2 linked regions of the Macaca fascicularis genome follow. The main gene of each other region encodes a partner of the protein of the gene in region 2 in a complex. Links are inferred from orthologs where the notes say so. Each region holds a gene or a part of one and is shown on either strand. Other genes may lie near its edges.

Region 1 (4,281 bases), on a different chromosome or scaffold from region 2:
AACAAGTTGACTGCCTTGGAGTCCTCCAGAAATGTCTGCAGTGTCCCGGTGGGCATCCAGGGTGAAGTCCTGGGAGGACAGAGGAGAGCCCCGGGAGGGTGTGATTGGGCAAGAAGGAGCAGCTTGCAGGTGACCCACGCCTAGTGCTCACAGGAGAGCTGCCTTAAGCACCATCTACCAGGCAGTGAGGGTCTGCTGAAAAGAAGCATTCATGGCTGGAGTTTTTCTAGTGTGAATCCCTTCCCAGTGAGAAAGACCTCAGAGAACTTAAAAGGAAGGGCACAGAAGAGTGGCAGAGAGGGTGAATGACAGCATGGCATGCTCCAGGGCTGGGCAAGAGAGCCAGGAAAACGTGATATATACTCCGCTTTACAGAGATGTTAATTAATGCCTGCCTTGTCCTAGAAACCAAATTGGTACCTAATGCTAAGTGCGGAAAGTGCGGAGATTGTTTGAACCCAGATGTTTAGCTTATAACCAGCATAATGACTGCTGGCTTTGCATTAAAATGATGGATCCTGAGGCTGCAAATACATGAGAAAGGAAAGAGGGTAGAGAGGAAAGCAGAGAAAGGAGTGGAGGTCTGCAGGGAAGATGCAGACATTTCAGGAAGATCCTGTACCCTATCCCTTTGCCTCTTCCAGGTCTCGTGAGGGACTGTTTACCTGGGAGGCACCCACTGTTGCTGGAGCTCATTATTTCTATTGCAAACCATGTGCTGCTGTACAAGTAGGTGGGACCTACCTGTCCACGCCCTCGAGGGGCATGTGGGGAGAAATGTTCCATTTCTTCCACAGCCCCGAAGACAGAGGTGGACCCCATTGTCACACATGGCTAGGGGAGCTGACCACATTTAGCCAGACTCTGAGAACGCATGTGGGTATATATCTTGGGTGTGTATGTGTGTGCACACGCCCACCATGCTTAAAAAGCAAATAAGGTTTCTTCCCCCTACTGGGGTCTCCCCATTGTGAGAGATTTGCTTTATTCCATCTACGCTTTTCAGTCAATCAAAGGGCAGCTCACACAGCACACAGCGGGAATACAATCTCCCTCCCGGGGCGTCTGCGCTTCTCCCCAGCCTAGCCAGAGACCTTTGCAGGAGCTGAAAAAAGTTTGGAAATAGCGGAGTCAGGGTGCTGAAAAAGCCGTTTCATTCAGCCCCCATCTTCAGGATTTACAAAAACAACCCAAATTCTGAGCCTAGCACTGAGGCCTCCTTGTTTAAAAGAATGTTTGCTCCTCTCCCATCATGTTCTGGAAGACTCGTAACATATTTTTCCCACTGGTGGGTTTGTGGGATACTCTGAACACATGATCTTGGACAGAGGGTACAAGCTTACTCAGTTCTGGGGGAGAATGATATGATCAGGTTGCCCAGAAAGGTACCTCAAAGGGACAGCTCCAGAAACGCAGGAGCTTGTACATGTATATTCAATTCCAAATTTGTTTTGGAGCTCATGTTCTTCTCCCTATGACAACTGAGACCCTAAATGAGTTGCTCTTAGACCCTAAGAAGGGAACTATGGAAAAGCCTCTTAGAACCCCAGACACTTCCTACCTCCTCCAGAAAAAGTTAAAATGAGCAGCCTGTGAAACTCCAGCCAGAGAGAACAAGAACGAAAATGCTTTCGGGAAATAGGACCTTAAAGAACTGGCTTCTGTGGAGTGGTTCTACACTCGGAGCAGCCCTGGGCTCTGGGGGACGCTGGCAGACCCATGAATGCTTTGCCTCCTCCAGTGGGCACCGCCGCCCGCCGCGGTCGTGAGGGAGGGAAGCCTCCTCTTTTGGAGAACTACACCCCTCGTGCTTCCCCCTTCTAGTTATCTTTCTCAGACACACACCTCGAAAGGCATGTGACAGGTGTTCGCCAGCCGGAGGCACCGGGGAAGGCAGCCCCATGTGCCAAGGAAGGGTAGGGAGGTGAGAGGGGACCCAAGTCCTGTGTCTCCAAGCCCTGTCTCCTTGCTGCTAAGCAGGGACTGAGGCTGTGAATAAGGTCATACCTTTTAAGGAGGATATGACCCCCGTACCTTCCCTAGACAAGCAACATACGCGGCGATGCTTTAAGCCGCTTTCTGTCTGAAATCTCGGCGCATTCCCGGGGAAGCAGTGCCACGCTTCAGAAAGGCGTTTGTGCTGCCTCTTACTGGGGAAACGCAGTGTCTGTTCCATATGCACCGCCCTACAGAACTGCAGCCCCAACCGCCTATGTGGCCTCCTCTCCACGCGTTGGGCCATCACTCTCTCCAAATAGGCGGCCGAATATCTGTGGTTCTGTCTCCCGTTGAAATCCCAGGGTGTCCAAAGGCCACGGGGCCGCGATGACACTGGGTGGGTCTCCGGAGACCTCCCAGGACTTCTCCCGTTTTAAAGCCCAGCTAGGGATGAAAGGGGCTGAGAGCTAAAAAATCGCTCCCTCAACCTTTTCGGGTGGGAGGCAGAGCCGGGAATACACAGAATCCCACCCCGAAAGTCCGGGAAAGAGAAGTCTGAGTCCGGGAGAGTGAGAGGAGAACGCACCCGGGAAATCCCTGCTCCGGCCGCTGCACCTCCGCGGGCGTCCAGGTGGGACGTGGGCAGGTGCGCGAGCGCCGTGTGTGCCGGTGTGGATCTGTGTGTGTGCCTGCGTGTGTGTGTGTGCGTGTGCCGCGGGCTGGCTCCAGGGCACCGAGGATTCCCGGGCCGACCCGGCCCGGGTCTCTCCGACCGCGCTGCCCTCACCGCCCGCCCGGCCCCGCTCCCCGGCTGGCCGGCTCCTTACCTGGACGCGCCGCGTTTCCCTCCTTCAGCGGGAGCGCCGCATTGACACTGCAGATGGAGCCTATGCCGCTGCCTCTCGCCCTCCTCTGAACGTGTGCGTGTGCGCGCGTGTGGCTGCCTCCTCCAGCCCCAGCCCCGAACGCAAATACTCCACCGAGGCACAGGGAAGCCGGGAGCAACCGAGGAACGCGGAGGGCGCCGAATCAGAGCCTGCGGGGCTTGACAGCTCCTCTTGCGGCGTCCAAGGTGGGCGTAATGTCCAACAAGAAGGTCGGAAAATGGGGATCGATTCCGAACACCCCTTTTCTCCACCCAACCCCCGAGTCTAAGCAGCGGCGGCGGCTCTCGGGGGCTGCGGTGGCGACGCGGGGCTGCCCCCCTTCGTCCCCACCCCCGCGGGCTGAATGTCCTTGATGCCAAGCGGGCACAGCGGCGTCACTCCGCGCCGCCCATGCTCGCCCGGTCGGGCCGCTGCCCGGGCGCGGCGAGTGCGCGGGGGACCCGCCGGGGAGCGCTCTCGGCGCCTCTGCGCGCCTCTCTGGGTAGCGGCGGCCGCCCCCCGGCAGCCCGCGGCCGGCCGCGCCGCTGCAGCCCCCACCCTTGCCGGGGGATTCGCCGGGCAGTGCCCTGGGGCCGGGGCTGGGGGGCCTCGGGAGCCGCCGGCTGCTCCCCGGGGAGGCGCGGGGCTGCGGCGGTGGTGGTGGCGGCGGCTGGCGCTGCGGCAGAGGAGAGCTCGGCCGCGGGCCGAGCCGGGCCTCCCGGGCGCGCCCCCGGCCCCCCGGGCGGGCTGCTAGCAAAGTTTGCAGGGGGCAGGGAGCGGGGCCGCCGCTGGCTCGGCCGCCGCCGGAGCTCCCGGGCTGCCTGCTGCCGCCGCGGCTCGCTGCTGCTGTGCATTGAAGCCCGGCCAAGCGCTGCAAAAACTCCAGCTGCCTGGCGCTCTCTGGGTCCTCCTCTCCTCCCTCCCGCCCTCCCTGCTTCCCTTCCTCCCTCCCTCGCCTCGCCTCCTCTCCTCCCCGCCGCCCGCCGCCCGCCGCCCGCCGCCGCTCCCTCTCTGGCTCGCTCTCGCTGGCTCGGAGCTCGCGGCTGACATCTAGACCGAGGGAGAGCTGCTGGCAGAGGGGGCAGGGGGCGCCTCCCTACACTCTCCCACCCGCCGCCGCCTGGCTCGCCGGCTCTCGCCCTACCAATGTTTGCCGACACCCCCCTGGGTCCCCTCGGCCCGCACGGAGCCACCCTGGCAGTGGCGATGTGGGGCGGAGAGGGGGGCATACATGGGTGACCCGGGCGCAAGGCGCGCGCTTAGAGGGAGGCATCCAGCCGCCTCGGAAGGTGCAGCTCTGGGCGCTGGCCGTCGGAGGGACCCTCAGGTGCTCAGAGCTGACACGAGCGCACACTGACGCCGAGGCATACACCCATTCCTACTCAGAACCCCTCCCAACACCCCACCAAGTCACCCCCACATGGCACCCAAGGAGGCCGAGGACACCGAGGGCACAAGGCCTGCACGAGAGAACATG
Region 2 (4,136 bases):
CTGTTCTGTGATTCTACTGAGACTCTTGCATTATTCTGAATGTGCAGAAAACTTGGAAAGTGACCTCGTCTCATTAAGTCTCCTCCAGCTCTGGACAAACATCATGGTAGTGTCTGGCATCTGTTACAGGAGTGAAATAAAACAGCCCTGGTTCTAGTCACTCAGCAGAGTCACTTCAGAAGACATTTAGGTGGACTTGGTACCACACCAGAGCTCTTTAATCTGTGACTTCTGAGAAAGTGACAGTGTAATAAGATAATGTGGACTGCTAGACTCTCTGGCTCTGTTAAATCTCTCTAGCAGTTGATTAAGAAAGAGCAATTTCTAATGACTCTGGACCATTAGTCCTAAATAAGGTTAATGAACTAATTTAGCAGACACTGGTTACTTAGAGGAGGTGGACATGGCTTTAAGAGGTTCTGCTGAGTTACAGTGGCATTTTCTGGCTCTGGTCACTTCAAGCATAGCAACATGGCTTTTGCTGGTCAAGCTCACCAACTAAAGCCAGATTTTCAGCATTCCCCACATTTCTGCTAAGAAAATTAAGAAGTGTGTGTGTGTGTGTGTGTGTGTACTGCATATATATTTGTGTAGTTTACAACCTAAAGTCTGATAGCTCTTTGCATTGAGCTTGTGAACACCCCTGCTATGGATTTATTCTCAAAGAGTTGTGGAGGACAGGGTTACTATAATTTCTAGTCCAACCATTTGAGCTCTTTCAGTTGGACGAGAATGCTATTTCATTCCCTGCCAGAGTATAAAAAGATGCTACCAGCTCAGGTTCATTAATAAATTGAACTCTACATTCATAATTTTTTGTGTCTTGCTTTCCTGCCAGATTATAGAAAAATGCCATCAACTTGGGTTCACTAATAAGTTGAACTCCATGTTCATAATTTTTTTTGCATGTGTTTTGCTTTAAGCATCTCTTTAGAATACTGCTTGGTAGCTGCTGAGGGAAATCCATTGCTGAAATCACAAAACCTTGAAAAAGCATATTAGAGAGATTAACTTCCATCATAAAGATGTGATTTAAATTCCTGTTGGTATGAGGCCCTCCACTCGCGGTCTCTTATTAAAACAATATACCACAGTAAGTAGTGGATGTTCTTTTCTTCTAATTACTGTGATTGAAATCTAAGCCAGACAAAAGTAAATATTTGATCATTAGTTAATAACAATTGCTGACGACTTACTGTAAAGATAATTGCATACCCTTGCCTGCACTTACTTTACAGTGTGAAGTCAAACATGCCTACAACCAGATCCCATTTTAAAACACATTATTTAGGTTACATGGTACTGTTTAGACCCCAGTATAGTTTTTCATTTACTTGACAGTGAGTGGTTTTAAAAGCTGAGTGGAAGCTGCAACTAGCTTAGGGATTTTCAGATATCCTGGTGCCTTACACTGTATATATCAGATTCCTGTATTGACACTATGTAACTTTCAGTCATACTCCAGACAGATTAGGGAAGATGTACAAAGGCGGGGGAGGGAGTTTCATCAACCCACAAACCGGTATCTCTGGCCATCACCCACCAGAGGAAACGGCTTAGGGGCACAGCAAAGGAACCAGGAAGTAAGATCTCCTGGTAAAGTGTTCATTAACTTTCAACAGCCATCAGATTTTTGAAAGGGAGTCTCTTCTAATTGCCTTTGGGAGGAAACATTATTAAGATAATTGGCGTGCTGATCCGGGAAGGTAGGCAGCTCTGTCTTGTAGCAGAGGTAAGGAAAAGCCCCGCAGCCCAACGATCAACGTCAGGAGGGAGCCCAAAGACCTGAAATCCTCCTGCCCTAAACCGCCTGATCTCATTTCTTCATCTCTCCTCCCAGATAAAAGTTTCCTTTGCCCGGGAGTCGGCTGTTCCCGGCTGATCCCGGGAAGCCCCGCCTGAGCCCCGGTCCGGGGCGGGCAGCTGGGAGCCTGGGCGCCGCTGTCACCCGCGCCTCCGCCTGTCACTTACCGTTGCGAAAAGCGCCGGCCGGGGCGAGGGCGAGGGCGAGCGCGGCGCAGAGGAGCGGCAACCCCTTCTCCATTCTCCCTTTGCCGGGTCCGCAGGCAGACGCGGGAGAACGAGGACGTGGGGGGAAATGCAGCAAAGAGGGGAATCCAAGCGATCCGAAGAGCCCCAACTCCGCCTAGAGCTGTACAATCCTCAGCCCGTCTTGGAGAAAGGAAAGCAGCAAGGCAATAATGCCTGGATCCGAGAGGAACGCTTCTCTTTTTGTGTCTCAAGTCGCCTGCATCCTGTCATTTAGCTCCGGCTTCCTCTCCCTTTTCCCACACTTGTTCCTCTTCCAGGAGCCACTGCCCGGGCCATGTCTCAAAAAAAAAAAAAAAAAAAAAAAAAAAGGGAGGGGGGGCTGTGGGTGGGAGGGGGAGGAGGGAGGTAGGGCAACACACACCAAAGCCAATTTCCAGGAAGAAAAAAAAAAAAAAAATCCGGCTTGTTTCTGGACCCGTTGGAGCCGCGGAGCTGGCGCCCAGGGGAGGTCCGGGTGTCTGCGGGAAGGAGAGGAACGAGCAATGAAAAGATGAGCGGGAGACAGAGGAGTTTCACCAACTGCACCCCCTCCTCCCCTCCTGCGGCCTCCCCCCACTCCGGAGCCCTTCCCTCGCTTCATCCCGCCCCTCTCCCCGCTCGGGCTCGCCTGTAATTGCCTGACAGGAGACTGGGAGGAACAACTTTCCCTCCGAGTGCTCTCCCCGTCCGTCTGTCTGTCTTTCCCGGAGATCCTGCAGGGATCTCCGCGGGAAGGAAGGCGCTGGGAGTCTGCGCCCCGGGCGCGTGGGTGCGGGCGTCGGAGGAAGGGGCGCGGAGGTCGGTGCCAGCCACGGAGTCTGGCCAGCCCACCTCGCGTGCTCGCTCTGCACCCCTAGAGGGAGAGCTGGGCAGCTCCTGGAGGCGTAGATCCCGCTGCCGCGCAGTGCGGAGCGCCCGGGAGGTGGCGGCTGCTTCTCGCAACTTCAAATCCTGGGGCCCGCGCCCGCGGCGGCGAGGAGCGCAGGGTCACCCCCTGCCACTCCTCATCGCGCCAGCCTGAGACCTGTGGCGGGGAGCAGTGGGGCACCCCTGGAGGCCCCCGCCCAGAACTGGAGGACGAGGAGGGGAAAGCCGGGCTGGAGTGGAAGCCGCACCGCGAAGACGGGAGAGGGGTGGCAGTGTCGCTGCAGTGTGAAGCGAAGTCAGACCGCCTGGCGGGCGAGGCCGGGTTACAGCCCCACGCGGCCTCACTGGCCCGCATCAGGGCGCGCGGCTGGGTGCCGATCGCTCCCGGGTGCCCTCTGCGCGCCGCGGAGGCTTCATTGTTTCCCGAGATTTGGTGCCCGTTCCTCTGGGGCAGAGGGAACACCGGAGGGGGGAGGTGCTGCGCCTTCCAAGCTGGGGGGCAAGCGCCTCCCGACACCGCCCAACCTTGTCTGGGAGCCCAGGTGCTAGGGAGGGGTGTGGAAATCAGGGGTCGGGTGACCTCCGTTTCTCTGTTCATCCGGAGGGAGGGAAAGAGTGACGGGGGAGGGGTGCTCTTGGCTGCGCCCTCACAGTGCCCGCTCCCAACCACAGGCAACGTGCACGCCGGCCCTCGAGCTCCTGCCACCCCCACTTCCCACAGCGGCCCGTGCCCCCAGCCCGCTGGATGCCCCCCAGGCCCATCTCCGAGGGTTTTCCGAGAACTGTTGCAGGAAGCGTGTGTAGATGGGAAAAGCAAGGACATTTCAGGGAACAAACAGGTTGCGGTCACCGATCTGTCCCCAGAGAAGGGTCAATGCCCACGGGCCACCTCCCAGGGAGTTTGTGGGTAAGGTGAAAAGGTCACACACCTCCTGGGGATTGGCGTCTACACACACAGCCAAAGTGCAGCCTGATTCCTACCTGGCACAAATAGCTGGCCAAAGGGAGGTAGGAATGCTGGCAAGGAGACTCTGGTCAAAGGTTTTGGCGGAAGAAAAAGGGGCGGGCAGGGAGAAAGCCCAAGGCGCGCGGGCCCCAGGCCAGGACTGCGCGCTCGCGGCTCCGGCTGGGCGCAGTGACGCGCGTCCCTCGGGGTGCAGGCGGGTCCCGGGTCAGTGGGGGGTGCACCCGTGGGGCCCGCACTCGCCACTCTCTCGCCCAGGGTCAAGCCTGTCTTC

The links. Proteins that work in one complex are often made in the same cells at the same time.
Region 1: the proteins of NRP1 (region 2) and PLXNA4 are in contact, whole or in part, in a cryo-EM structure (PDB 7M0R), measured with the Mus musculus proteins. The link is inferred for Macaca fascicularis from reciprocal best matches to the Homo sapiens genes NRP1 and PLXNA4. Residues at the interface, in NP_032763.2 of Mus musculus: Arg80, Tyr84, Asp126, Tyr127, Glu128; in NP_786926.2 of Mus musculus: Glu272, Lys340, Lys343, Lys345, Leu349.

The regions. Positions count from the first base shown.
Region 1 is NC_088377.1:174,113,956-174,118,236, forward strand, and holds the start of PLXNA4 (plexin-A4), read right to left. Parts: upstream 2,815-4,281; 5' UTR 2,766-2,814; intron 1-2,765. UniProt on the Homo sapiens protein: Coreceptor for SEMA3A. Necessary for signaling by class 3 semaphorins and subsequent remodeling of the cytoskeleton. Plays a role in axon guidance in the developing nervous system. Class 3 semaphorins bind to a complex composed of a neuropilin and a plexin.
Region 2 is NC_088383.1:34,085,985-34,090,120, forward strand, and holds the start of NRP1 (neuropilin-1), read right to left. Parts: upstream 2,887-4,136; 5' UTR 2,670-2,886; exon of another isoform or gene 2,660-2,669; intron 2,540-2,659; exon of another isoform or gene 2,511-2,539; 5' UTR 2,045-2,510; coding exon 1,972-2,044; intron 1-1,971. UniProt on the Homo sapiens protein: Cell-surface receptor involved in the development of the cardiovascular system, in angiogenesis, in the formation of certain neuronal circuits and in organogenesis outside the nervous system. Mediates the chemorepulsant activity of semaphorins.